Linked DNA regions of Medicago truncatula. The protein of the gene in region 1 interacts with the protein of each later gene in a pairwise test. Links are inferred from orthologs where the notes say so. Each region holds a gene or a part of one and is shown in the gene's direction. Other genes may lie near its edges. The genes, in order: transcription factor AS1 and protein ASYMMETRIC LEAVES 2.

Evidence for each region.
Region 2: the proteins of transcription factor AS1 (region 1) and protein ASYMMETRIC LEAVES 2 interact in a two-hybrid assay, tested with the Arabidopsis thaliana proteins (4 studies listed by BioGRID, with this or other methods). The link is inferred for Medicago truncatula from reciprocal best matches to the Arabidopsis thaliana genes AS1 and AS2.

Annotation. Positions count from the first base shown.
Region 1 is NC_053048.1:28,630,994-28,647,410, reverse strand, and holds transcription factor AS1, read left to right. Parts: upstream 1-10,014; 5' UTR 10,015-10,270; intron 10,271-11,548; 5' UTR 11,549-11,618; coding exon 11,619-12,698; 3' UTR 12,699-13,014; downstream 13,015-16,417. Other genes in the region: glutathione S-transferase T3-like, read left to right, coding at 3,312-4,175.
Region 2 is NC_053049.1:15,626,901-15,642,833, forward strand, and holds protein ASYMMETRIC LEAVES 2, read left to right. Parts: upstream 1-9,524; 5' UTR 9,525-9,631; coding exon 9,632-10,318; 3' UTR 10,319-10,339; intron 10,340-10,770; 3' UTR 10,771-11,111; downstream 11,112-15,933. UniProt on the Arabidopsis thaliana protein: Negative regulator of cell proliferation in the adaxial side of leaves. Regulates the formation of a symmetric lamina and the establishment of venation.

The DNA of each region.
Region 1 (16,417 bases):
GCAGCAGCTGCCCAGATCCAGCAGAAACCGTTGCAGCTGCACATAGCAGCCACAACACCATAGGCATGGCAACTGCTATGACTTTGAAATCTAATAACAGCACCAAAATTCAAGCCCATAGCTAAGTCATTACCCTCTGAACAACCCCAAGCAGATGCCCCAAACCTGCAACACCTATCATAGCCCAAACCGAACCAAAAAACCGCTGCACAGCCGACAGAAACAGCACCAACAGCTGTTGTTCTGTCATGACAGCAAGCCAAAACCGAAACCACTGGTCCCCAACAGTCAACCACAAACAACAACCATAGGACAGCCACAACCTTACCTCAAAAGGCATTCTCGAGGACCCCAACTCCACTCATAAAACAAGCATACCGTAGAATTTGATCTTCCAAGCAACCATCTCCACGACAACACTTTTACCTCCTCCACTAGCACATCCCATCTAGCAATAACATTATTAAAAATTCGGTCATTTCTAGCCTTCCAAATCACCCAAATCCCGGCCTCCCAAATCATTCGTAACCCGTTCCGAACTTTCTTAATAAAAGGACCCCCACTCCAACACTTCCAATGGATAAAAAGGTTCGGAGGCATTATAAAATTCAAATCCAAACAAGACATCAAACTCAACCAAACATTCCGGGCCAAATCACAATGAAGGAAAAGATGTGAGGTAGACTCGGAAAAATCCATACAATGAACACAATTACTTCCAACACCGGGAGGTAAACAATTCCGGATTCCAAAATTAACACGCGTCGGAATCCAATCAAGAAGAGCCTTCCAAACAAAATCCCTCACCTTAGACGATGCCCCGGTCTTCCAAATTTGTCTAAACACTCTCCTCTCACCCTCCGGACACACCACCTCCGCCAACCCTCTCCCCTCCAACTTGATATTAATAGATTTCACCGTGAAGATGTCATCTTTCTCCAACTTCCACCGCCATTTATCCTCCACCTCTCCCAACTCAAAACCCTCCAACACCCCCAACAACTCATCAAGAAGATTAACTTCCCAAACGAAAAGTTGACACCTCCAACTAAACCTCCATCTCCCTCTGCCCACATTGGAAATCCACATCTCTTGAATCGTTGCTTCTTGGAATGTTGCAATTGAAAATAATCTATGTAATTTCATCATAAAAGGTTCACCTCCTCTCCACGCCGTTTTCCAAAAACCCGTTGTAGCACCATTACCCACCTTCCTAATCACGTCCTCATAAAACCAATCTACCTCATTACCTTTAGCTAAGGACACCAAATCCTTCCACCACCTAGAAGCATTGGTCTGCCACACACCCACCCCTTCCTCCAAAAACTCGCCAACCTTAGAACCATATCTTTCCACAAGAATCTCCTTCCAAAGCGTATTACCCCCTTGCAATAACCGCCATTTCCACTTTGCAAGAAGACTCAAATTCACCAAAGAAACATCCCTAACACCAAGGCCACCCACCTCTTTCGGTGGACACACCACCTTCCAACTAACCCAACTAATCTTCCTCCCTCCCTCTAAACCACCCCAAAGGAATTCCCTTTGAATTCTAACCACCTTCTTCACGACATTAAACGACATTTTGAAAAAGATATCTTGAATGTTAGTAGAATTTTAAAAACTCTTCTGATATGATAAGACTAAAAAAAGATTTGTGTTTGGATACATGAATGTAAAAGTGAATTAAACTATAAATATGCATGTGAAAATCAATTTTAGAATCAAAAGTTACAAATCATAGCTTAAAGTAAAATCAATTTTGAGGACATAATCAATTCTACTCGACAATAATCAAACATGTCATAATTAATTTTACACCTCTAGAATCAATTTTGGTATTCTAGAAATGGAACTAAACATACATTGATTTCATTAGACATTTTCTCTTAAAAACTGGATAATTAACACACAAAAAAGAACACGAGGTTAAAAATGAAAACACAATAACATTTTATAAACTTAGATTAGATAATCATACTCGTATATTGGGAAACTTCACAAAATTTCAACTAAATGAAAACTAATTTTCTTAAGGATTTTGTTGGGTACAATTGTCTTTAAGGATTGAACCAAATGGATTTAGAAGTGTAATATTAGAATTGTTATGATTAAATCATTTTTTAGATAAATAAATAAAATTTAAATTTAAATCTTTTATTAAAAATTTGTTTGATATATAAAGTAGAGGCTATGAATTATACAAATTTTTTTAAAGAAGGCTATGAATTATGCCCCGGTGTAAATGTATTATTATTGTTGTTGAAAATATCAACGCAAGTATCTATAAATGATTGATTGTTCATTAAAACTTTAGATTTCTATAAAATATCAAAAAAAAAAAAAAATTATAATAAATTTTTGGATGCTGGGCTACGAGCCATCCCATCCTATAACTCAAATGGAACACAATTTAATTTTAGAGAAATGATATTTGAACAACTGATTTTTGACAACTTTTGTGATAACTTTCTCTCTCAAACTCGCATTCTCTTTTTACTTTCTCTTTATATTGTTTTGGTTTTAATGTCACTATCTAAATTTATTTGTAAATTTTAGTTGTCCAAAAAATTGTCCCAAAAAAGAGCTCTTCAAATAACATTCCTCTTAGACCATCTCCAATGGTCTATTTAATATTCCATTCAACAGCATTTTTGTCTCCAATGATGTGTTTAACAAGTGTTGAATGGGGGAATAGAAGAGAGAGAAGATGAATCCATTCGACTCCATTTAATCCTGCCACGTGGTGCTTCAAAATTGGTCAAAAACGGGCGCGTGCAACACACGTGCCGATAGGGCGCGTGAGCGGTCAGAGGTTCGGAGAGAGAAACGGTTTTTGGATAGATAAGGACACGTGGCGCGTTTTAATTGGTTGTCCAGATTCTTATCATTTTAATAATTGTACCTCAATTATTTTGTTGTAAATTAATTTTAAAAAAATAAAAAATACCAAAATTCATGATTTTTTTTCATCTATAAATAAAGACTTGGATCATTTGATTTGGACACAGAAAAAAAAAAAAACCAAGTTTTTCACTATCTTCATCTTATTATTATCTTTCTATTAGCAAACTAAGTGAAGTTTTAATCTTATTTTTTGTGAAATGGATCCCAATAATAACCATTTCAACACCCAAAATTTTTCTAATTATCCATATAACTACGAAAATCCCAACAATTATCCAAATCCAAATCAATTTTTCAACCAACGTCCTCAAAACATACATCAAAACGTACCTAATTTTGGTTTTCCACCAAATTTCAACAAGTCATCCTATGTTCCAAACTTTCATCCATATTATGGATCTATGATGAGATATCCATCTCAAACACCCCCGTTTAATGGTTATATGCCAATGGAGAATGAAAATTTTCCTAGTGTTGGTGCAACTCAATATCCTGAATTTTCAACACAAATAACTCCTGGTGGCATGGCAGTTGCTAATGAAGTCACTCCAGAAGATTCAACTCCTAAGAGCAAGAGAAGTAAGGAACCAGCATGGAACACTCAACAAAATTTGGTTCTAATTAGTGCATGGATTAAATATGGAACAAGCAGTGTTGTCGGGAGAAACCAGAGAGGAGAAACATATTGGGGTAAAATTGCTGAGTATTGCTCATTCGATTCTCCCCGCGATCTAGTTGCATGCCGAAACCGTTTTAATTATATGAGCAAAATAATAAATAAATGGATTGGTGCTTATGAAAGCGCTAAGCGTTTGCAAGGAAGCAGTTGGTCGGAAGATGATGTTTTGACAAAAGCGCAGGAATTATTTGCATGTGGGAAGAATATTCAATTTACTTTAAATGAAGAATGGCACGCTCTCCGTGATCAACCACGTTATGGTAGTCAGATGGGAGGAAATGTTGGGTCAAGAAGTAGTGGATCTAAGAGATCTCACGAGGACTCTGTAGGATCTAGTGCTCGTCCAATGGGTAGGGAGGCAGCTAAAAAAAAAGGTAAAAAGAAAAGTAAGGACGCTGCTGGCTTGGAGGAGGTGGAAAAGGAGTGGGTTCAATTCAAAGAAATCAAGGAGCAAGAGATTGAACATTTGAAAGAGTACACCAAGGTGCAACAGGAGAAAATGAAAATGTATCTAAAGTTAAGTTCTGAAGAGCATCTTGATGACCGGAAAAAAGAGCTGTTGGAAAACTTGGAGCGTGAGCTGTTTTGAAATATTTGTTTGTATTCGGTCAAAATTGTCAGTGTTGTCTAGCTCCCAATGTTTACTTTAATAATTGTCAGTGTTGTCTAGTCCTCAGTGATAGTCCCTAGTGTTGTCTAGTCCCTCGTGACTTATTTCACCTACTATTTGCTTTAATAATCATGCGCACTATGTGCCCATTATTTCACGTACTATTTGCTTTAATAATTATGCACACTATGTGGCCATTATTTCACCTACAATAACTTATTTCGAATCCGTCAATGTCCACCACACAATGTGCTTATATATAGGGACTCATATCTACTTCCAATTTCACAAATCTCATTCATATCTAATTCCAAAAAAACTATCAATGGACCCTTTTGATATCGAAGCCTACTTCCAAAAACGTGATGTTGAAGACACTTATATCGTCAACCGATTTATTCAGCGTCGAAAAAAACTAGAGGAAGGTAGTGCATCTCGTACTAGAAAATATTTCAATAGAGATCATGCAGCGGCAAACCAAAGACTAATTGACGACTACTTTGCCAATGAGCCTACATACGACGATGCAATGTTTCGTCGTCGGCACCGGATGCAAAAATATGTTTTCCTTCGAATCGTTGGAGACCTTTCAAGTAGTGATAACTACTTCACCCAACGAATTGATGCAGCCAATAAAGAAGGTATATCACCGTTAACAAAATGTACCACAACAATGCGAATGTTAGCATATGGTGTGGCAGCAGATGCGGTCGATGAATACATCAAAATAGGAAGTAGTACAACATTGGAATGCTTACTTAGATTCTGCAAAGGAATCATACGACTCTATGAGGAAGTGTATTTGCGAGCACCAACCCAAGATGACCTGCAAATAATACTACATGTTAGTGAAATGCGGGGGTTCCCAAGGATGATCGGCAGTATTGACTGCATGCACTGGGAGTGGAAAAATTTTCCTAAAGCATGGGAAGGTCAATTTACCAGGGGGGATAAGGGAACCACCACAGTTATTCTGGAAGCAGTTGCATCTCATGATCTATGGATCTGGCATGCCTTTTTTGGATGTCCGGGAACGTTGAACGATATAAACGTTCTAGACTGGTCACCAGTGTTTGATGATGTGGAACAGGGAAAGGCTCCGAGGGTGAATTACTTTGTGAATCAACGTCCCTATAATATGACATACTATCTAACTGATGGTATCTACCCTTCGTATCCAACTTTCGTCAAGTCAATCAGACTTCCTCAAAGTGAACCCGATAATTTATTTGCAAAACATCAAGAGGGATGTCGGAAAGACATCGAACGTGCTTTTGGAGTGTTTCAAGCTCGATTTAAAATCATCCGTGAACCAGCTCGCTTGTGGGACATAGCCGATTTGGGTATCATCATGAGGTCATGCATCATATTACATAATATGATTGTTGAGGATGAACAAGATACATATGCTCAACATTGGACCGATTTTGAGCAACCTGGGGGAAGTGGATCTAGTACATCGCAACCATACTTGACCGAGGTGTTACCAACTTTTGCAAATCATGTGCGTGCTAGATCCGAGTTGCGTGATCCAGATGTTCATCACGAATTGCAAGCAGATCTAGTGAAACACATATGGACAAAGTTTGGAATGTTTCGTGATTGAAGATGATTTGTATCGTACTAAATAAATTACTTGTGTGTTGTATGCTTAGTTTGTTGTATTGCATTTTAAGTTATTTGTGTGCCGCGTGCTTAGTTTGTTGTACTTGCATTTTAAATTAAGAAAATAAAAATAAATTATTTTACAAATTTTTTTTTTCAAAAATACTAAAAAATAAATAGTTAATTGTATTATTTTAATTTAATTATAATCGATAATTTTATGTAATTATAAAAACAAAAATTAAATAAGAATAAGAAATAAAAAGTGGTGGGGTAGAGTGTTGAATGAAAACCATTGGAGAGGGTAAAAGTTGAATGAGTGTTGAATAAGAGAGAGAAAATGATGTGGAGTGTTGGAAATTGAAAAAGTGGTGTTGAATGGTGTTGAATGGTAAAAACCATTAGGGATGGTCTTAATTTTAAGTAGACTCCCCAACAAAAAGTAGCAAAGCACATGTTACACTTTACAAATTTGGGCAACAGCTTACACCATAGTGTGGAGTTGAATCTCTATCAAGATGAATGTACTCACAAGACCTCACATTATATATTTATTTTTTTAAGGAACCTCACATTATATATTCAAAAGTCATATATATAGTCACATGCAACACACAAAGCTTTCATCATGTTGCCCTCCCCCCAAAGCTTGGGATACTTCCAAATAATAGGATACGAGAAGAGAAATAATATTTATACAATTATTTTATTACAGTTTTTATGATTACTTTCTCTTTTATACTTTATGTTTTTACTTTCTCTCTTTATTATTTTAGTTTCCGTGTTAATATCTACATTTTTTTTTTTTATAAATTTATGATTATCAGATATAGTTAAATATTTGATTTGGATGGTGGGGGTGTACTAGAGTCGTGAGTCTGAGTGTTTGAAAATAGTATATACATTGTAAAAATTTGCATATAGTGTTATTCTCTAGTTGTCATTGGACAATAGTCGTGGTTTTTCATCTGTTTTAGGAGTTTTCACATTATACTTTTGTGTTTCTATTATGTTCTTTTATTTTCTCTATGTCGGTTTTTTCCAAATACTGACATCAAAACTTTTGGAGAGCTTCTTTGGTCACTTGAGTAAAAGTACATGATGGTCGTCCTATGAGTGAATGCGCTTCAGTCTAAGGTTAAAATCGCTTAAGTTGATAAAGTTTTAAGGCTCCATGCCTAGGGTTTAAGTGGATGCCCCAAGGCTCTCTTCGTAAGGGTTGGACGCTAATGGATTGGACGACAGGTACGAGAGCCGAGAAGCTCACAACTAGGATATAATTGTGGGTCTAAGAATATAAAATTTTAGTATGTTCTAAGGTGGTAGCATTGTCTTATTATCCACATCGTAAAAGAAAGGTTGTATTGTGAAAGTGATTCAATAACAATTTCTGCTGTGAAGTTTAATCTATAGGAAATTGATGAAGATCCATTTTTGCCTCGTGGAATTTTCAAATCAATGACGTTTTGATGAGTAATGCTAACAACACTCTCTTTTGAACACCCTCTCTAATACTCACTCGTTTATTGGTTTAAATCATTGCGGGTCTACACTTTGAAAATTGAACCCACACAAAGTGGTGGGCCATACATTGATTTCATCCAATAAAAGAGTGAGTGCTAGAGAGAGTGTTGAAAAATGAGTGTTTCTAGCATTCCTCATGTTTTGATATAATCGGAAATACGCAAGGTGATGATTAGTATATAAGTGTTGATTGACATTGATGCAAAGTGTGTTATGATATTATGTTGATGGTTGAAGAGCTTCCTGTCAACATGGAAGTTGCTCCTTAAGTTTTCAACCTCATTTTCGATATGTGAAAATTCTTGAAGTGGTTTAACTACAAGCGAAGTGTACTCTCGCAATGAAGTCAATGTAATTTTTTTGGAGTGATTTAGCTTCAAGTAACTATAATCTCTACGTGGAGTATGATAGTTCTTTGAACTATGATTATCGACGACGATGGAAACACGTGTATCATTTTCAATCAAGGTAGAGATTGTTGGTGTTGGTTGAAAATATACATATTGAAGAAGTCACACATTGCTTAGTATTGTAAAGGAAGAAGAAGATCAAGACTAGTTCTTCATTACAAGATGCACCGGTCCGAAACTCTTTAAATTTGTATTTGACTTTTGCTTTTGTCTTATACTCTAGTGTTGTGAGATGTAGTTAAGTACTTGTTTTGGAGGGTGCACTTGTATTTGGGACGTGAGTGTTTATGCTCTAAAAATTTGTATATATATATGAGAATTAAGCAACTACTTAATGAATTTTTTTTTGAAGGAACTACTTAATGAAATTGTTATGTAACAGATATATATATAGATCTTTTGATTATCAATACATTCGATATTATTTAATTAATAATGAGATAAGATGTAAATACTATATTTGTAATTCTTTTCCTTTTTTTAGTGACATATTCATACGGTTGGTCCTAAAATAGCACACTAACGCTTACTCTCAAATTTCACGAGAGACGTAAGCAAATGGTGTACTCTAACTCTACGTGGTGTACTCTAAAGACTAAAGGATAACATGTTAGCATTTTAGAATTTAATGGATCAAATGTGGGAAAAAAATATAAACGACCGCGGCAACAATTTTATCAAAATATTATGATTTACTATATTCTTTTACCAAAAAAATTATTATTATTAAATTAGTTTCATCTAAAAAATTCAGCCCTCGTCTCATAAGTTTTTGGAATACAATATTGTAGTATTTTACATACAAGACTTTTAAATATGTCTAAAGTTTTCCTTAAAAAAAATGTCTAAAGTTTACATAGTATTCTTAGATTATAGAGAATGTTACCAAGTGTATATTTTTATAAATAGTAATAATTTTTTTTACTAAATCGTCTCAAATTATATGGTATTTTGATCATTTCATACAAATCAAGAAATCTAATTAATATTGTACGAGAGAGAAATTATAAGTCATTTTATAAAATTATCCTTCATTATACGAAAGATAAATGAAAGAATTGAAATAAGAGAAAACAATTGAAGGTACACTAAGAAAAAAAGCATTTAATGTTTCATTGTTATTGTAAATCGAGTTATAATTTAAGACAACTTTTTTCTCCAAACGACTTATAATTTATGTGGGCCATTTAGTCAACATTTCAATTATAACTATATATATTACTCTATTTCTACCACCTAATAAAAAAATTCTCAAAATTTAGTACAGGCACAAGCCTACATACTCTAATACATGGATCCATCCTGCCCATCTATCAATTGCTAGTTTCTATCTCTTGATCGATAACCCAACATATATTCAAGATATTATCATCATGAACGAATGATACACATTAAACTTTTGACTATAAAAAAAAAAAAAACTAATAAATAAATCATTTTACCTTCGACTAGCTTTTAGACAAAATCAATTTCACATAATCGGTTACCTCAAAATCAAGTTTTGCAATGCAAAACTAAATTATTTCCAAAAGGGTGATCAATTGGAAAAGAAGAGTATATGAAGAGATTTTGATCAATTTGGGAAATATGTTTGCAACTTCTTGTGTTCAAAAGCAAACAAATATTACACTAAAAAAGAGACTTGAAGAATTGTAATTCTTCTCTCTTTGTTAATGAGATCTTAACAATTTAGCCAATACTCATAAATACAAATTATAACATATTTTACATATTCAATATATAAATGATCACGAACCACATATCTTTTAGGATTCGAGACACAATCGTTGATAAAGCATGATGAGACATGAACTACACTCATGACCGTCTAAATTTTAGGTTTAGGTTTATTTCTCATCGTATACTCGATTGACCGGTAACATAACATTTAAATAGCTAAACAATGTTAATGACATATCTCTTATTAGACCTAACAAAATAGTTCAACCTATTACAATTAATTTAGAGACACAAACTACCCTCATTACTAATACCCTCATTACTAATTAGATTTTACATTTAGTTATATAGCTAAACGACCGAAGATAGATAATTCGATAAACTAATGAGAATAGTTGAAATCACAATTTGAATTAAAAATGTGATTTGTGTATAAACAAAGAGTGAAATATATAATGAATGGGTAACAGCATGTATGTATCTATAGACTGTAAGTGATCATGTGTGTCCCTTATCACTCGCGTGCCCTAACCTTTCTCTCTTTCTCGCATAATAGGCGCTGAATCTGACGTACCTCTCTTTGTATTATCTCTCTCTTTTCTCTTATTGTGGGGTCTCTCTCTACATGTCTTGTCTTTTCAAACTTTTCTCTCTCTCTCTGGTCCTTAACCTCTCTCTCTCTCTCTACTACTACTACACCATGATATTGATAAGGTAAAGTTCCTGCATTACACTGCACCTCGGTTTTCACTTCCTCTCTTTTTTCAAGAACACCCCATTTTTCAACTTCTTCTTCCTGTTTCATGGACCTGAATTTCTTAGGTTGTTATTAGACATACTCACACTGTGACTGAGGTACTTCTCTCCATTCTCTCCTCTCATTCTTCTCTTTTTAACCACTTTTCTTTTTTACTTTGCTTTCAACACAACAAAGGTTGTTATTTCTTTTTTCTAAATATATCATGATTTTTTTGTATATTTTTTGGTGCAAAGTTTCTTGTTCTTATGTTCTTCTTTTGTTCAACATGTCTTGTTTCTGAAATCATTGTCTTGTTATTTTGTTACATTTATATAAAGTTCATGTGAACTTATTTTCTTGGAAGCTAAACTCTTTTCAGCTTGAAGCTCATGTGTTAGTAGTATATATATGCTTTTATATTGTATACTTATTGTGTTTCATGTTTCAGTTTTTGTGTTTTTATTTTTATGTTACTTCAAATTGTTTGAGTTTTCCTGAATTTAGATATGTTAATTGATTTTGAACACATGTATTTTTTTTTAAAATTACCATAATCAAAGTATTAAAATTCAACCATTATATCTTTGTGTCTGTGTTTAATTGATGTGCTTCACACTCTCTGAATCCCTGTTTAGTTCTGTTTTTTGACTGATATGAGTGGTTAAGTGGTTATTAGTTATTACTTATGTGGATGCTAATCTAAAACTTCAATTATTCAACAAAAATATCTAACTAAAATTTCAATTTAAGAATTTGTCTTGAAATGCTGTTTAAAACACTGTGAGACTGTTCCTCAATTTTTTTGTTTTTGGCCTTTTCTACCTTTGGTGGGGTTTTCATTCATTGTTCTTGATTAGGATGTTACAACAGCTTTTAAAGCTCTTACAAAATTTTCTATTTAAAGAAATTATTACTATTTGCAATTGTAACTACTGTGTTTCCTATATTAGTGTAGAGGCCACAAATTTTGATTAAAATTTTCTATGTCTAGTCAAAATTGTGAAACAGAATTGATAATTACCAGAATTTATTTTAGATTATGTGATTTCAATTTGACATATTGACTTCATACATTAATCTGTGGTCAAATATTTTTGCATTTAATCACTGATAGAAAGAATTGATGTCATTACTAGTACTTGAACTGAGAAATTTTAATGCTTTGAAGTCAAAGGGTATTGATTGATCCTTGAGATTCTTCATAAATGTTTTGTATGCATTTTGTAGCATGTAGAATTATATCTGTTGTGTTATTTTGCTTAATAAATTGATGAAGTTTGTTGACATTTCTGATTGGATTAATTAATCTTCTTTTGTTTAATTGTGGACCTATGATTAGAAATTATAGAAACTTCACATTTCCACCTTTTGATTGATACTACTTTGTTTCACAGTGAATTGATCCCTTGAATTGTCATGAATTTTCCAGAGACATTATGAAGATTGCAAGTTTCAAGAAACCGGATGTCGGATATGAAAGATAGGCAGCGGTGGAGAGCAGAAGAGGATGCATTATTACGCGCTTATGTTAAACAGTATGGACCTAGAGAATGGAACCTCGTGTCTCAGCGCATGAACACGCCTCTTAACAGGGACGCAAAATCGTGTTTAGAAAGGTGGAAGAATTACCTCAAGCCAGGTATTAAGAAAGGATCTCTCACCGAAGAAGAACAGCGTCTAGTCATTAGCCTTCAAGCAACACACGGAAACAAATGGAAGAAAATTGCCGCGCAAGTTCCCGGTCGAACTGCTAAGAGGTTAGGGAAGTGGTGGGAAGTATTCAAAGAGAAACAACAAAGAGAAACAAAAGGTAGTATTAACAGAACTGTCGACCCGATTAACGATAGCAAGTACGAACACATACTCGAAAGTTTTGCTGAGAAACTAGTGAAAGAGAGACCATCTCCTTCATTTGTCATGGCTGCTTCCAATAGCTCTTATCTTCATACCGATGCACAAGCACCAACTCCGGGATTGCTTCCTTCATGGCTATCGAATTCAAATAATGCAGCACCTGTTAGGCCAAATTCACCATCAGTGACACTAAGCCTATCTCCCTCGACAGTAGCAGCGCCTCCTCCGTGGATGCAACCAGTACGAGGACCGGACAACGCTCCTCTTGTTCTTGGGAACGTAGCTCCACATGGCGCTGTTCTAAGTTACGGCGAAAGCATGGTAATGTCTGAATTGGTTGATTGCTGCAAGGAGTTGGAAGAAGTGCATCATGCATTGGCAGCGCACAAGAAAGAGGCGGCATGGAGGTTAAGCCGAGTGGAGCTGCAGTTGGAGTCAGAGAAAGCGAGTCGAAGGAGGGAGAAGATGGAGGAAATCGAAGCGAAGATAAAAGCTTTAAGGGAGGAACAAGCTGTTGCTTTGGATAGAATTGAAGGAGAATATAGGGAACAGTTAGCAGGGCTGAGAAGAGATGCTGAAACCAAAGAGCAGAAATTGACTGAACAATGGGCTGCGAAGCATTTACGCCTTACCAAGTTTCTAGAACAAGTAGGGTGTAGATCAAGGCATGCTGAATCAAATGGAAGATAGATAGAAAGAGAGACAGACATCACTTTCAGCATTTTGATCTAGTTAAGGTTTTGTGTGATTGAGTTTTATGCAGTTTTATGGTCCTTGTTAGTTTTTGTTCTTTGTTCCTATTTGATTAAAAAATGTTCTTATAGATGCATATTAATATCCTATCTTTTCATACAACTTGAGGACTTTGCATTTGCATTAGGGGTTTATCTAATGGTTTTTTTTTTATTTTTGGGTCACTTTTGTAATAATAAACTTTATGATGAGGAAGATGTGTACTGTTGTAGTACTGGTATATGGTTTTTATGCACTATATTTCATAATTGAAGAAGTGCACTTGTCAAATAAGTACACATTGTGTATGTGTGAGTAATTTTTTTGAACTGCATCGTATACCTTATGAGTGTTTGATAAGATCAATCAGCAAGACCTTATATTATATCCACCTTTTGCAAATTGAGAAAAAAATAAAAGAAACCTCTTAGCATAGTGTTCTACCAAAAATACCACCTCACTACATATTGAGTTATGACCAAATGAGATAGTTGGGTACACTGTTTATAAGTCATACTCAACTTGGTCGGAGGGAGAAAGACTGGAAGCAAAACATGATTATGGCACCATTGAAAACAATGGGGGAGAAATTTTATTTCTCACTGAAGCAATATTTGTGGTGAGAGGGGTATACTCAACTTGGTCAGCAACACTTTTTTTACCCCTCTCACCATAAATATGGCTTAATACAAGGTTTCTTTATTTTTATATAGGGATAATATGAATAGTCAAAGGGCAAGGTCTCGCTTTGTAAATTATCATCTTCTCAATATAAGTTTGTTCTGTCTAGGACTTTAGGTGTAAGATTGTTCATTAGAGTCTCATTCTTCCATCATATTTAGCTTTAACTCTCTTCGTCTCCCTTTCTAGGATGTGAGAGGAAAAAAACTTTATCATAGTCTCCTTCCCCCTTCATCTTCTTCCATTAGAGATTAATTTTAAGTGTCTAACAATTTCTTGTAATAAGCATTATGGTAATGTAAATGTAATAGCAAATATTGATCAATTAATCAAATAAACATTTGTATCATATTTGTCTCTTTACATTTTTTTTTTTGTCATTTTCAATTATGTCATATTAAGAATATATGACACCACTATTCTAAAATTATGGATGGATAAAACAAGTTTTCGGATTATATAATCCAAAAATTTCTATAAAAGAGTTTGAATTATATAACATGAGAAAAAGATATTTTAAAAAAGATATGTGAGAAGACCATATAAAAATAGTCTTCTTTTCGTCCTTATAGTTGTGTTGCACATCCTTTCAAAAAAGTTGTGTTGCACATGCGAGTTCACGTTAATTCCCAACATATTACTTACCGTAAAAAAAGTAGCATAATTACCATTTGTAGAGAGGACTCCCTTTTTGAAATAGTTTCCTGAATGCATGCAAAGTGATGTTTTTTTAATTTTTTAAATAGTTTAGCGGTTAGAAACTCACATTTTCTTAGTGCCTACATTGCAAAGTTATAAGGCGTGGTTCAAGATTTGTCGTTGGCTCGTGATAACGGATAGAGGTGGTTGAGCTCCATATGGATTCAACAATCATTGTTTATAACTTTATCAACTAATGTGGTGGTACTGTTGCTAGGTGGAGTCTTGTGCAGAGAATTAGGAGATTGCAATGAATTGCGAAGTGAAATTGTGTCATTCTTACTTTGAGTTGAATACTTGTGTTGATACTTTATCTTCTCTTAGGTATGATTTGATTCAGCCGATTCCTTGATTTTGTATGGGCATTTGACTATTTGCTTGGTGAACGACTATGATTCATGGTTTAGATGGTGAACGATTATGTGGATTCTCTAAGTTTTTGGTGGAGTTGTGGTGCCTACATTGCGAAGTTTTGTGGTGTGTGTTGCAAGGTTCGTCGTGGGTTCCTCCTAGAGAGTTCATGTTGGTGGAGCTCCATGTTAATTTAATTGTTGTTGTTTATAACTCGCTCGATCAATGTGCTTCTAGGAGGAGTCTTGTGCGAAGAACTAAGAGATCACCAATGAACTGGAAAGTGAAAATATGCCATTCTTAGCGTGGGTTAAATACTTGTGTGATGCCTTACATTTTCTTAGGTGTGATTCATGTGATCCTTTGATTTTGTACGATTGTGTTAGATTTTTTTCCTTCTGAAATCATTTATAAGTTTAAAACTAATTAGAGGGTGCAAAAGATAAACATAGAAAGAGATAAGAGATATACATAAATATTTATCCTGGTTTACCCCAAAATTCGGAATAACTTCCGGTCCCTTCACACAAGAAAGACTTTTTCACCATAATCAAATAAGATTATAATTACTTAGACACACAAACACAAGCCTAAGATTTTCTTCCTCACTTTGATAACTTTTATAATCAAAGTTTAAAAATAATTTGATTGATGTTTACACTTCAGACTCAAAGAGTGGTAAACTAAATTAAGATTAGAGTGATTTTTAAACACTTGAGAAATTCTAAGATTGAAAGTTTGTAAGAATTTTTAAAAGTATTTATGTGGGCTTGAAATTTGAACAGAGTTTTAGCACAATTTGAAAGCGTGTGATTCTCTATATTCTTCAAATGTTTAGGGTCATTTTATATAAGAATTGAATAGAGTCGTTGTTGAAGAGATTTGCCAGTGCATCACAAGTTTTCTTTACGTTTGAATCTTTGCCACAAAAGGATAATTTCGTTGAACAATACTCAGAATTTCTTTGTTTCTTTTAGAATGATTCACTACTTCCTCTTTGCCTTCTCTTTGTCTTGTAAGAGCTTTGGCCGTTTTTGTAACGTCGTTTTCATTTAAACCAACAAGGACAAACCCTCATCCCTACATATATTATGTTGGATTGATTAACTGAGTTAAGCTCACAGACAACATCAAACTTTGGAAAATTGCCCTTCTCACTTTTGATTTTGCTCATCCCCTTAATTTAGCGTAAGTTAACACACACACTGACACTTTTAAAATCAATTTAATCACTTTTTAAGACGGTTGTATCGATCATACAAGTGCCAACTTGAGTTAACTCGTATTGAAAAACGTCGAGTGTGAGTTAACTCACGTTGAATTAAACAAAATCAAAAGTGAGAAGATCAATTCTCCAAACTTTGTCATTGTGTAGTTTTTCTTTTTCCTAGCCCATAAGCCCATGTATTTAAAAAAAAAAAAAAAATACTAAAACATCCATGAAATAATAAATGATAATTGTATAACTTTTTGATAACTTTCTCTTTCATATTCATTCAGTCACATTTTTACCTTTCTCTATTGCTATGTTTTTTGTGCAAACACTTCATTATCTTTGTAAATTATGGTTTTCTCGTAAGTTATCATTGAAATCGATACTTTTCTTATAAGTTGTCATTGAAATCGATTTTCAAATAACATTACTCTATTGAATTTATAGTGTACGAGAATTGAGTGTAGTAGTTGAATAGCATCGTATAAAAATATATAAGAAGCATCATCATCACCATCTTAATCAATTTCATATTAACAATAGTGGTTTAGTCTCGTATTCGATTAACGCGATTCACACACAATTTGGGGATTTTTCGGAAATCCAATTAGGGTTTTCAATTTCTCGCTAAATTCTTCTTCACTTCACGGAATTGAAGCGAAGAATTCCATTCCTCAGAATCAAACCTGGGGAGTGAAGGTTCTGGTTTTCATCCTCGCTCCTTGTTTCGCTT
Region 2 (15,933 bases), on another chromosome or scaffold:
TAGTACAACTGTTCATCCTCAAACTGATGGTTAATCTGAGATAACTATACAAATTCTAGAGTATATGCTCCGCGCTTGTGATCTTGATCTTGAAGTAAGTTGGGATTGATATTTGCCTATGATGGAAGTTGCATATAACAACAGTTACCAATCAAGTATTCAAATCGTGCCTGTTGAGGCATTTTATGGTAGGCGATGTAGGTCTTCTATAGGATGGTTTGAAGTTGGAGAAGCTAAGGTAGTGGGTCTATAGTTACTTCAAGATTCCATTGATAAAGTTAAGTGGATCTGAGTTCGTTTAGAGCCTATTTAGAGTAGGCAAAGATCTTATTCTGACAAGAGGCGTCGTCCCATAGAGTTCACTAAGGGCGAATATGTATTCTTACATGTTTCAACAATGAAGGGTGTTTTGTGGTTTGGAGAAAGAGGAAAGCTAAGTCCAAGGTTCATTGGGTTGTTTGAGCTTTTGGAGAGAGTCAGACATGTAGCTTATCGATTAGCACTTCCACCGGATATCTCAGGAATTCATCTGGTCTTTCATATTTCTATGCTTTGAAAATACCTTTATGACCCTTCTCATATAATTAGTCACGAAGATGTGCAATTGGATGAGAGTTTGTCATCCACTGAACATCTGGTTGCTATTGTAGATAAGGAAGTGAGATGTTACACTCAAAAGATATTGTTTTAGTGAAGGTTCTTTGGAAAGGTCTATCCGGTGAAGAAACTACTTGAGAATCTAAAGAAGTAATGCGTGGAAAAACCCCCACTTATTTGAAAATCAAGGTTAGTAGTGTTTATGATTTAAATAAAATTCGAGGATGAATTTTCTTAAGGGTCCGTTTGGTTGGAGATTTTTGAAGGGGATGGAAGGAGGGGGGATGGAATACTTCTAATTAAATTTGTTTGGTTCAATTTTTCAAAAAAAAAAAAAAAGAGGGGATGGAAATGGAAGGGAGGACAGGAAATGGAATATTTTTTGCTTGCCCTTAAATTGGAGTTTTTCAAATGAGAGGAGTGTCTAAAAAGTAATATATCCCATTGACAAAATTATCCTCAATTTATTTTTTTGTCAAAATCCTAAATTATCCTTTTTAAACATGAAAAACATATTTATACTTTTACCTTAACAACTTATTATTTTTAAGATTAATACTATTATTATGTGTTTAACATCATTTTTTTCCTTTAACATCAAATCTTTTTTTGTTTAACCTTAAAAAAGTTTCTTTGCATAACATCATTTTGATTTAGTCAAAACATTTTTTTCCTTGACATTAAACTTTTTTCTTTGGTTAACAAAAACATCAATTCTTTTTTTTTTTTTTTTAAAAAGTATTAATTTTTTTTCACGTCAAATGTCTTATGTTAAAAAAAAAAAACATCATTTTGCTTAATTTTTTCACATCAAATTCTTGTTTTATCCTTTCTTTTGTTAACTTATTTTATTTTATAATATTAATATATAATAGTAGTATATGAGTTATATATTTTGTAAAATTTAATTTTATAAATATTTTATGGTATTAGATGGATTATTAAGATCGGAAATTGTTATCGATAGAGTTTGATCTGTGTTGAAGTGTTGTACCATGATTATATGCAATTATTTAAAACATGAATGTTATAAAATTTTAAGAATAAAAATGTAAATTATGTTTAAAATCCTTTCCATCCCTTATGAACCAAACACATATTTAATTAAAATACCTTCTATTCCATCCCCTCCCATCTTCTAAACCAAATACATATTTAATTAAAATCTCTTCACTCCCCATCCCTCCCTTCTCCTCCCCTCCATTAAACTCTCTCCCTTCCCCTTCTTTGAACCAAACGGACCCTAAGGAGGGAAAAGTGAAACACACCGTTTTATTAATTAAAAAAAAGTAAAAGAAACAATATTATATAATTAAACATAACACAATCACTACAACACTTCTCTCATTCTTTTCTTTCCCTGTAACCTCTCTCTAGCGGTGGGCATGGTTCGGTAAACCATATTAACCGAACCGAAGTGTTAAAATGGTTCGGAATAACTGAACCGAACCATTTAAGGTTTGAAACTAACCGAACTGAACCAAAGTTATGGTTCGGTCAACCGTTTGCTTGGTCATTAACCGAACCGAACCAAAGTCATAAGAGATGTTCTAAAATATGAAATTAATCCTATGAGATAACACAAGTTCATGCTAATATAGATTTTTCTTATATTCTATCATTCCCCCTGAATATAAAGATATTGAGTCAATGTTTATAGCAGCAGAAATCATAACAAAATAGAAATTTGTAGTGTTGCTGGCATCACAGCTTTGAACCAAACAGAAATGATAAACTAGCAGTTGAGATCTCTGGATACAACTGTGGTGCGCGGTGCAGTCAAACAACACCAAAGAATCACTTGAAAGCAGTGCAATAGGCGAACCTAGAACCAGCATGGTCAAACCAGAAAAACGGAATCTCGGTGGAACATAATCAATCAAACATGAACCAAACTAGCACACTAGACACGAGAAACAACTCAAACAGCATTGGAATCACATGAACAACATAGAAAACCAGACTAGAACAAATTAAAAGAAGACTCAAACAGAAACCAAGGCAAAAATACAGAACCGTAATTGTGTTATATGGTTATGGTTTGGTTTGGTTTGGTTTGGATAACTGTGGTTATTAATGGTTCGGTTTGGTTAATTAACTATTAAGAAAATAATGGTTCAGTTCAAAAATTTATGAAATGGTTCAGTTAATTTTGATATAGTTCGGTTCGATTAACTGATTCGATTCGGTTATTGGTTAATTTTGCCCACCCCTACCTCTCTCTGTTCCACCTACCTTTCCCCTTCTTCATTTAACCTTCTTTTCGTAAATCAACCAATTTCAATCACAAATCGAACACTCATACTAAAAATTAGGCTTAATTACACTTTTGGTCCTTGCATTTTGACCAACTCACGAAATTGGTCCTACCTCTTTTAAATCGAACAAAATCGTCCCTAAACTATATGTTTTTTGCAGTTTTAGTCCTATCTCCCTATTTCCAACTCCATAAATGACAGTTTTAGTCCAACCAACCATGAAATAAACAAGTAATAAATCATGTGGGTACAAAGAATCTACTTTGTTCAACACACAAACCAAGAAAAATCCTAATTTCTAAGACATGTTTCAGGTATGTAACATGTCTAAAAAATTAGGTTAGTATGCTGAATAAAGTAGATTCCTTGTACCCACATGTTTTATTCTTTGTTTATTTCATGGTTGAGGTGGTTGGACTAAAATTGTCATTTCTGTGCGTTTCTGGAGTTGGAAATAGGGAGATATGACTAGAACTGCAAAAAAAACATATAGTTTAAGGACGATTTTGTTCGATTTAAAAAAGATAGGACCATTTTCATGAGTTGGTCAAAATGGTAGGACCAAAAGTGTAATTAAGCCTAAAAATTATACATCCAAGCAAAGCTCTTTCTTAGTACAAGTGAAATTTGGTCGGATTTTTGGGTTAGGGTTTGTGCTTTGGTGAAGTATATCCTTTTTGTGAAATATGACGTCGGATGGTTTAGAGTATATATCAGAGGATTTCATACTTATCTATTGTTACTAAAGTTCTATAATGCTCAAATATGACGTCGGATGCTTCAAATATTTCTCTAGGAGTGGTTGGAGTGCACAGTTAGTTGAGTCTCATAAGTATGAGTAGATGACAATCTTTATCACATATTTTACATACTGTTATTATTGATATTTTGATAATTTTATATGTTAAAGTATTTTATTGAAGTGGGGAAATACAACCTTGAACATTTCTCCTCATTGGTAAGGTCATCAATATTACAAAATATTTTATTTGGATTGTTTATGATTTATAAAATAAATGATAAAAAAAATTGGCATTTGACTATATGTATTTGACACAAGTTTGATATTTTACCGATCATGATTTTGAACAGTATTTTGAGAAATACAATTATAATTGCGATGACTTAGGTGTACCTAGTATGTCATTACGATCAGGGAGAGTTACCTATTAGATGGATCCACCCCTAAGAAAAGGCCGCCATTAGGAGGAAAGGGATATCAACAAAATGTAAACTCCTAATTGAAAATGTTTTACATTGTATTTTGAGTCGAGAGAAAAAATCTATCTATTAGATAGAGCCACCACCCCTAATTTTTTTATCATTTTTTCCCGTAATTCCATTTTCCTTTAAATGTTATATTTTTCTCATATGTTAATTTGTCTTTTCATCGTGGATAAAACACCAAAACCAAGCATGTCTTGAACTGAGAATTTGTTAAACCATTTAAGCAAGGTTCTCCCATGGTTTAAGACAAGACAACAGTTGGTGAACTAGTGTCTCCCAAAACACTAGAATGTCCAAGTTATGGTATAAAAGGATATCGGTCCCACAAGGACTCTGGAGCTATAACTTCAAATAGCTATTCAGCAGAAAACTTATTTGGAAAAAAATAAAATAAAACATTTGTCACACAGTAAAAGTAAAAAGTTAAGTTTGGCAAAGTAGTTAAAGTCTTTAGAAAATCTCAAAATAGATGGTGTGGCTTAATACAAGGTTCAATCATGATAAAACATTACTCCGATTTACAAAGCTATAAATAAGGTATAGCTGTCTGTGTCGCTCAGAGCTATAGCCGGTTCGAAGCATCTTTAGTCTCTAAGATACACAACACTATATCCTGATATGGCTACTATGTCTCACAAGGCTACATCCGTTTATTAGCTTCTTGCAACTTTGTGATCCATAGAGTTATATCTTTCATAACCAGCTTTATGGCGAACCAAATGGTCTATAGGAACCATTGTGTTAAGCTACAAGAAGTCACCTTATTTAAGGGCGGACCATCACCCTTTTACCCTATCACCAGATAAAGGAACTGTCTCCAATCGCTGCGCAGACACAATAATTAACACGTGCAGTTGGTTTGGTTTAGGATCCTGCCATTTCACCATGAGGTGCGGATATACAAATCCTTTGTCATATGACAAATAGTGAATGTAATACTAAGCTATAGCGTGGTATGCATATGGTGATTCTCAACACTATGGCTATTTGTTAACCTCTTAAGCCAACTGAGATTCACAGAGATATAACTTCCTATAGTGTCAGTTTTACATTCAAGATTCCACTCCCTTTCACTCAATGGTGCTCAAGGGCAAAATAATATCGAATAAACATTTTCCACTCCTTACTTTGTTAAGGTAAGCGAGTTATATCATTTTTTTTTTAAGAAAGCAAGTTATATCATTAGAAGTAAAAGTTGTCAGGAATCACTTATATATCGCAAGTAAATTAATAAATCGCATGACGCTACAACTTTATATATCGCAAGTAAATTAATAAATCATAACTTCACCATGTCTAAATCACTCAAAGGGGTTTAGCTCATGGTGAGATGAACTATGGAAATGGAAATGAAGATGAAGATAAATGAAAGCATAGAAAACTAAATTAATAGAATAGATAGAGTTGTCACAAGATTACACTCTTTGAAGGAATAAGGTGAGTCAAAACGTCACCAAGTAATCTACTCTAAGAACTTTAGAATCTAGCCACCATGCTCATCTATGGTAGAAGATGAGATGGAATGTGATCTCTAAAGTGTTAACCCTAACCATAACCTGGCCTCTCCAAAGTACTAAAAATACTTAAAACTATAAAATCCTAAAATAGACACTGATTAAACTATTACTTAAGTCAATGCAATCACTCAAATACTTGTCCAATATGGGGGCTAAGTGCAATGTGATAACCAACTTATTTTCCAGTTATCAATGACATTGTGGTGTCAATGTCACGTAACATTGGATAACCACAATGTGACAAGTGGTTTTCTTCTTTATCTTATATATGAATTTTTTGTTTTTTATTTTATTTTTTAAAATAAGGAAAATGTTACATAGACACCCTTTATTTCCATACACTTTTGTACATCCTATATTCTAGGAAGAGAGAAGAGGAGAGGAAAGAGAAAATGTGCTTGTGCAGGGTCCACGTGACCACATGTCAGATTTTTATGTGGATGTCCAGGGATGTATTGCCATCTAAGAGTATCTATGTATCATAACTCTTAAAATAAAGGTGACACGTGACACACTGATTAGTATTTAAAATATGCAATTGATTACATGGGTAATTTTTTCTTTGTGTAACATGGGCTTGTCATTTAAACTATTTAAAATATGTAATCGATTACTTGGCTAATTTTGTCATTTAACTATCATATTCTATTTTTTATCATGCATGTATTAAACACATGATATGATAAATGTTTATCATATCTATATCATATCATGTTTTTATCGAGTTTTATATTCTATTATGTTTTTATCGAATTTTTTCATTTAACTATAACAATAACTCGTTTCAATATTAATTTGATGATATGGTGTACCGGTACACTCGAATTTTTGAGTGTGCCGTAAAATTTGCTTTTTTTTTTTTTTTAAACTCGGCATCCGATCCAAGAATCGACTAATTCGAGGGGACCAATTACACCGCCCACTTGCGGGGGCCCCGTTTAAAGCCAGAGCAAGCTCTGTATGGACTTAGCCCACCGAAATTGGCACCAGAGGGAATCGAACCTGAGACCTCTGGAGGAGCAAAATCCAAGATCCCAAACCAACCACTAGACCAACCCCAAATGGATTTCGTAGAATTTGCCTTATTTCTTACGTAGGGACGATTGGAGATGTTATTTGCACTCAAAGAAAAACACGTAGCCATATTTAACAAAATGAAATAATATCCTGTAAAATTTATATTTGTACTCTAAATTATTTATTATATTATATGCACAAAATTCGAAACCTCACAATTGCAAAAAAAGAAGTATTATATGCACACACTTGTAACGTACACAATATCAAGTCGGCTTACATTTTCACACGGGGAGCGGTTATGGGGCATAAGGAAATCCTTATGCACCGTGCATAAATCCCAACTCATTAACCGATAGCCCAACATAATTGTTTCATACACCCCCAAGCGAAACCAAACGAAACAACACTACAACCGCGGAAATCATCATTTTAGTTCAATAATGATGATTTCAGAATGTTGATTTGGTTCAATAATAGTCACAAATGTTCTTATTATATTATGTTTTGTATAAAATTATGCTAAAACCATTTTGCTGTGAAAATGGTTTATGTGAGTTGTAATCCAAAACCGTTAGATGTATTTAATGGTTTCCAGCAGGTTAAAAAAACTAAGGACCTAGAGTCATTGCCATCATTCAGTTTTGGACTGACACAATTGGAGGAGGAGGAAAGAAATGGTTTCTGTGAGTTGTTCTCCAAAACCTTTAGATGTACTTAGTGGTTTCCAGTAGTTTCTCAGCTATAAACCCCTCCAACATCACAAAGATTTCGAATATAGTAACAACTTCAGATATGAAACCGTGAACACAAACAGTTACGAAACAGTAACATATAGCAATCAACACAACGCCACTGGATCGAAGAAGAAAACACGAGGGAGGAAGAGGAGCGAACCGGCTCAACAACAAGTGAAGCAATGAAAATTTTGTTTGTGTTTTAATCTTTAGATCTACTCCTTCTCGTTGTATTTTTGCACGATCCGAGTTCGGATTTGGCTTTAAAACGAAAATGGATGTTGGAAAATGGCTTTAGTTTTTAAAAAGGGTGAGTTTGGTTCTCCGGCACGGCGCCGCCGCCGCCTCTGGCCAGCAACCACCGCGCGTTAGAATCATCATATGTGGCCGGAAGAGATGAAGACTCATCTGAGTTCTTCGTTTTCTTTTCCAGAATGTTGAAAATTGTAGAGAGAGAGGGAGAGTTTTATATTTTAGTGAGAGAAATATTTGAAGCAAATGAAGTTTGATTTGGTGTAGTTTGAGAAGCCTTGGATTATTAAACGTGTACACTAGATTTGATGGTTGTGAAGTGTTTATGCACGGTGCATAAGGAAAATCCTTATGCACCATAACTTTTGCCTCTCACACGAGGAAGTGTCTTCTGGCATCAAACATTAATCAACTTCATTATTTTCCTTAGACAACGCTGGCTTTCTCATATACATGACTTTCACCATTGTTTTTTGTCTTCAAATTCTCAGCCAGAAACACAAGGACCAAGGATTTTGTCCGAGGATATGAAATTCCAGTTGTAACTGAATCTTTGAAAATTAGTTATATATGCATATTTATTCATTGTTTTTGTCAACTTCCATACTTTCTTCAATCCCATTGCTAGCTCTTTTTTCTCTCTTGGATCTCCCAAATGAATCAATGATCATCATTTTTATTTATTTGTATTGTTATTTTAATGAGATAAGGAGTCTGAGAATTATATATACACTACCAAAGATTTGAAATAACGAAAAAAATTAGAAACCAAAAAATTAAATTAGTCACTAAATTTAAAGACACAATTTATCCTTTTTCGTCTCTTGAACTTTTGTCGTTATTTTAAATTTTTCTAATTTTTCTAGTAATCCGAAGGAAGTCTATAGGTTTCAAATCATATATTATATGATTCTCCGTACTGTTACACGGCGAAAAAATTACATGCTCGGTTAACATACTAAAAATTAACATAACCAAACAATTGAGATATAGTAAATGAACTTCAGCAAGGATGAATCGTTCGTGAGAAAGTGAGTTCGATTCTTATGAAGAACAAAAAAAATGCTTTTTAAAGATACCCTAAATTTCCTCTAGCTCTTTTTTTTTTTTTTGTGTTCCTATCAAAGACAAAAGTGTTAGGTTAAAGTGGATATTCATTCAAGTTCAACGACGAGTAGTAGGCAAATAAACTGAGAGTTAGTATAAATAGAGATCTAATTTTGAGTTTTCTTCGCCACAACGTCTCTTGTCTCTTGATGTATTGGAAACTTGTGTGTCATGATGAGATGGTTTACAATTTTTCAATACAAAAATTGTAATTGACAGGTTTGGAATTTAGTCCTTGTATAAATTGCAATTGTGTGTGAGTTGAGAGAGAGTAAGTTTACAATTTTGTCTGAAAAAATTGTATGGGAGGATTTGCAATTTTCTTCTATAAAAAATTACATGCTGAATAATAAATATTTTGTTGAGATATGGATTTAATAATGAAGTGACAACCACATTCTTGCTAGTTATTTTTGTCTTTTTTACTTCTTTTGTGGTTATTCTTCCCCTTAGTAGAGATTTTTTATTTTCTCAAGAACTTTTAAAGAAGGGTGTTTATATTTTAGTGTCGATGATATAAGCTAGCTAAATATATATTAAAAAAAACACCTGCACAAAGTGTGGTGGTGAAGGGTAAGCAAATTTCGACATAGTTTTTTTAGTCATAAATTGCAAAAGAAAATAATAATAATTTAAAGAAAGGAAAAGAGTGTGTGTGATTTAAAACAATAGATTTACCAAAAAGACCGTAAAATAATGGAATTAGCCATATAACACGCATTAATGGATCAGTTCTTATTTCCTTTTATAATTTTTTATTACCATTATTTTATTATTTTACAACATAGTAATAACAAACAAAAACATGGTGAATGCATCACAGAAATTAATGGTAGTGTGAAAGAGAGAGAGACAGAAAAAAGAGGAACAAGAGAAGGAGAAAAACAAGTGTTTGTTTGTGTGACAAAAACAAACTACCATGGCATCCTCAAATTCACCATGTGCAGCATGCAAGTTTCTACGCCGAAAATGCCAACCAGAATGTGCATTTGCACCTTATTTTCCACCTGATCAGCCACAAAAATTTGCAAATGTTCATAGAATTTTTGGAGCAAGCAATGTTACAAAGCTTCTCAATGATTTACACCCTCACCAACGTGAAGATGCTGTGAATTCACTTGCTTATGAAGCTGAGATGCGACTTCGAGATCCTGTTTATGGTTGTGTTGGTGTAATTTCTCTCCTTCAACACCAACTTCGTCAGCTTCAGATGGATCTTTATTGTGCTAAATCCGAACTTTCTCGTTTTCAAAACTTGAGTATCGCAGCGGCAGCTACTGCCGGTCATGGACTCATAACCGGCATGACAGGTGAGTCTGTCACGGCCGCTGCAGGTAATTACCACCACACGCAAAATACTGCTGGTGGTGGTAATAACAGTAACGGCCGTGACCATCGTTATCATCAACATCATCAGTTTTTTCCAAGGGATCAACATCAACAACATAATTTGGTTAGAAATTTTGATGGTGGAATTGGGAGCAACTATGATGCTAGTCTCTTGGCTATGAATATATCTGCTAGCTTAGGACAGATCAATCAACTTCAACATCATAGTGCTGCTGGTGGTGGTGGTGACGACCGCCGTACTGTTAACCGCTCCTAGCTAGGGTTTCTAATGCTATAGGTAATAATTAATGCTTTTTATTTTTACTTTATAAATTAATGCTCTTTTTATTTAATTTTGTTCTGTCACCTATCATCACTGAATCACATAACTGCATATGAAATATGCAATCATAACATTGGAAGAGACTCTTCAATGCTTTAATTGTATGCCATTCCTCATGTAATACTATACTGCACCTAAACTAATTAATTTAGAAAATATTCTATTATAATTTGTTATGCCTAAAACTATAAAATAGACAGTTTATTTTTTTTGAAGAAGAAAATAGATAGTTAAATCCTTTAAATTATAGTGAATGAGTTTAGTATATGAATGAAACTATGAATATTTAAAATATTTTAATTCAACTATATATATTTGTGTTGTGTGTATATGTATATATAATCAAGAATTTTATTTATAATATATATTTCTTTCTCTTTTTCAAGGAGTTTTGACATTACTAGCTGGAGAGAAGATTTCAACCTTCATTCTTCATTTTTGATGGACACTCAAAGACAAATTTGTTCATCAGTCAAAGCTCGAATCGGTTTTTATTTTTATTTTTTGTTTTATATGATTACAAAATTGTAGACAGAAAAAATATATATATGACGTCTAAATGAAGTTATGAAGTAGCTGACCAATATTTTACTATTGTGATTTTACTATCTCTACAGAGAGAAGAAATAAGTGAAGGGTTCCTCTTCCTCCATGGAAAGATTATCACTATTAGCAAACAGTATATTATCTTCTTTTAATCAATTACGATGGTACATTTTTGGTCAAACATATGGTGTTAATAAGCACTACATGAGAACTGTCACTTTTAGAATTTAATTTTTATGCTCTCGGAGAGTTAATATAGATTTACATGCCCTAAATTACTTTCCATCATTTAGATATTTGTATTGCAATTTAAAAATTTATATATATATACACACACATCTGTTTGGATATTTGTCGTGTATAACAAATATTTCTATTATCGTTGTACAGAAGATAAACTTTAATTTATACTAGATATAAGTTGACGAAAAAAATGTGAATTTTGTTTGATTTCATCCCTATGTGTTAGAGACGCTAATTTAGTGACGAGTATAAATTTATAGCCATATTGATCATGTTAAAATAACAACTTCTTTCCCGTGGTTAAAGGCGTGTCTCACAACCTTTACTTTCCGCGCTATCATGACTGATGGCGGCATCCTTTACCTTGTATGAGTGTTTTATTCTAACTTATATTGTTTCTTTTGTTTTACACTATAAAACATTATTTCTCAACCATACCAATGAGTTATACTCAACAAACCTATGCATAAATATCACAAGATCAATTGCGATGCTATGAACCACATTTTATAACAATATACGATTTAAGCATAATAAATACACCTACAACTGCAATTTAAAACTATGCTTATATATTATGTCTTTTTTCCCTTGTATATGATTATATACCTTTTTCTAGTACACAATTACACGGTTGAACTAATAGAAGCATATGAAAAAAATGATGATTAAACTCTGGCCAAACAACAGAGGTGCATTTATAGCAATTGGTTCAAGTTGCTACTGAGTAAAACTACTCATACACATTGCTACATTATGTTTAATTCTCAATGTCATTCGCATTTATTAGACAGTGCCAACACTATGGACCTGTTTCTTCCTATCTGAACCCCTTTGTTAATTCCATTGGGTATGAAATGAATTCAGTGACTATGACTTGACCAATTCTTTTACTATCCCTCTTCTTGACTATTCCTTGTTTCTATCAATCACTTTTTTTTTTTTTTTTTTGTTATCTTGAAGTTTGGTTTTGCATGCACGCTTTTCTATATTTATTCATGCTTTTATAAGTTTTGAAATGCTATAAATTAAATGAAGAATAAAAGAATAAAAGAATATAGCAATAAGAGAATCCATACCTACTGCATTTCTTTCACCTTTCATCTTTATTACTTCCTTAATTATATGCTGTTTGTCCCCTCTTTCTTTTTTCCTTTTCTTTCGTCCGTTACAACCACTTCAATTGAGAAACCAAAAAGGAAAGGAAGTTTAATTAACTTATAATGTCTATGAGATGTGACAGCTCGACGTTGTTGCTACTTGCAGATCGATAATTAATCTCAATCTCAACTCTAATTTTTGTACGTTTGGTACATTTAATAGAAAGATACTTGGTTCAAATTAAAAAATAAAAGATATCGGATTTTAAGCTAAGAGTTGGAATTTTTTAGCTAGAATTGTGACAGGTGGAATGCACGTGAAAATACACATTGTTTGTATATTTGTATTTGTTTGAAATTATTTGTGTGTATATATAGTAGATGTAGATAAATATATCTTTGAAAAGGTTTATCAGTAATAAAAAAAAATTAAACATGGTGATAAAAACAATTATAAGGTAGCAACAACGTCATGGCCTCTGATTTTATCTCAATTGATAGAAATATTTTATTATATATGTAGAGGTTTGGGTTCAAACCGGAACTCTTCATTTATTCCTCTTTAAAAGGTGAATTTCTAGCAATTAGGTTACTTGACAAAAGACAACGTCATAGATCGATCATCATTTAAACAATTATAAGGAGTTTCCTAAGGTATTGACCTAACCGTCCAAAATACAGACCGATCCAAAATAAAACGTAAGTCGATACAAAAATATCTAAAACCACAAAAAATGAATATTTTTTAATGTGTTTGAATAGTGTTTTGTAAAAACCGCTCATATCGGATCAAATTTTGGATCACATTTTCCAAACCGAACAAACCGCAAAAGTAAATTTTAATACCTATTTATTCTTTTATTAGTATTATATATTCCATTAATATATTATTTGTTGGTATGTAATCTTATATTTTGCATTAATTTCATCTATACTATTACCACTTCATATCTTTCGAACATTTACATTTTGTAATGTTAATATTATAATGTATTTGATGATTTTGAATGAATTTTATTATTTTATCGTGTATGTGTAATATTAATATTAGTTAAAAGAATTAAATGTTGCATTTTGGATATCCAAAAATCGATCTAAATTAAACTGTATATATGTGAATCAGATTAGATCGAATTTTTTAAAATAGTCATCCAAACCGAATTGTATCACATGTGATTTTTATTTTCAATTGGATGACTTTTTGCCTCAAAATCGATCCAACCCGCACCGTGAACAACTCTACGTCCACCTAGGGGTGTGTCTTGTAACACCCCGTTATCCCAACATCTAAATATTAAATAAAATAAATCAGAGTTCAACAATAAACGGGAATGTCACACTACATTTCAAAATTCTTAAATAGAATAAAATGCTATTTATTAAAATCAACTTTGATAGATAAATCAATACTTTGCAGCGGAATATTTTTCAATCACTTAACATTAAATAACCAGCAATAAATTCTGGCACAAAGGCCTCAACATAAATAGTCATCAACAATTTGTTCAACAACAATAAAGGCTCCAACAACATGTTCCAAAATTGATACATAAGGAATGAAAATATAACAACAATTTCCCATCCCGTTACATATCAGAGCCCTAAGACACTTAAGCCACCACTTCTACTACTCTTCATCACCTGCAAGTTACTTATACGATGGGCAACATTTTCAAGCAGAAGGGGTGAGATTCACAAACAACAATAATAGATATATAATCCATCAATTGAATCTAACATCCTAAATAACAACAATACTTCAATATACTTATATATTTCATGATCAACAACATTTGGCAATTTCAACCAATAACAACGACTTATGCAATGACACGACAACACTACTATGACCCAACAACAAAATGTGACAATGCACATGCATGTGGTACCATTTTAACGCGTTTGAATGACAAGGCATTCCAGGGCATGAGCCCTCAACAGTTTGAATGGTTAAAGCATTCACAGGGCATGAGCCCTCAACGGTTTGAATGAGCTAGCATTCACAGGGCATAAGCCCTCAACGATTGAACGACAAGGCGTTCCAAGGCATGAGCCCTCAACAGTTTATGATTATGCAATGAACTCCACTTGTGTATATCAACATACAACTCAACTACAACACAACAACAGCATGAACGACGACAACTGCTACTGAACAATGCATACATATGAATATGACTTACCCTCAACATAGTCAACTAATGATACAACAACCTTTGAAAATGAAATTCAACAACTTGTATAATTTATTTAAATATAAATATACATAACAGCAATCAACAATTCATCATACTTAATTCAACAGCTCCGGTAAAATAACACAATTAATCATAACTATTTGTCCTACACAAAATCCAACCAACAATATTCAAATACATAGAAACGGCTTCAGGTACTGAGCAACTCGCCTCGCGAGTGCATCTGCTCGTTGTGGCGAACTCAAGAAATGAGTTACTCGCTATAGCGAGTACGTGGCGAGCAAGAAAAATGGTGCTCTCGGGAGTTTTGACATTTTTCTCACTAAATCTTCATTTTTAAGCTCCCTAATCATCTTTTTAATCTGAAAATTGTCTCAGTCCTCTCTAAAAACATCCAGGCACTCAAAACTATCCAACTTACATCTTAAAACAACAATTTGAAGATCATGATCTCTCACTCACTTACTCGCTATGGCGAGTGGTCTTGCTCGCGAGGTGAGAGATGAAGATGGCTCACTCGCGAGGCGAGACAAGCTACTTGCGGAGGCGAGCGATGAAGATCTTGTACGGGCAGAATGCAGGTTTTTCCCAAAAATCCCAATTTTCTCAATTTCAATCCCCAAAACAGATTACAGAAGTGTAATAAATTTCTGTCTACGACCTGAACACATTCTAACATTATTACAATAGTTCCTACACTCTTTCAATCCAAAATCAAAGAATTAAAATCTAAACCCAATTCCCAAATTAACCAAAACCCTCATGTTAAATCAAAATCAGAATTATAATCTATATCATTGAGAGTTAACCCCACCCTCACCGCATACAAACATCAACATTTAACATGTATAATGCCAACACAACAAACAATCAACCCACCTTTAATTCATTATACATTAATCACATACACATAATTACAAAACATTCCTAATGTTATCACACTATTAGCTAATGTTATCACACTATTAGGACACAATTCGATAAAGTCCGTCTATTGACCATAACTTTAAAACAATTATAGAAATTCAACAAAACTAGGTAAACATGTTCATTTGTCTCAACAAAACATATGCAATAATCACATTTATGTGCAGTTGCATATTTATATCCGTCTCATTGACCTCAACCATATTGGAGTCCATGTTGCTCGGAGTAGCTTTCCTTTTACCCTTAGGGCCCGTTTGATGGTCAGGATAAGGAGACAGGATATGATACATTAATCATATCCTGCTGAAATCTCATGTTTGATACAACAAATGGATAGGATAAAATAAACCATTTTCCTATCCTATCCCGACTTTCCTTTGTAATTTTTATTCTAAGTATATGCTGGGTTAGAAATTATCCTAATGGATTAAAAGATCGTTCCTTATTTATTATCTTGATATTCTACCATTTATAAAATACTGTCAGTGTTTAAAATAATGATAGCATGTATTTTCTATTATAATTAATCACATGC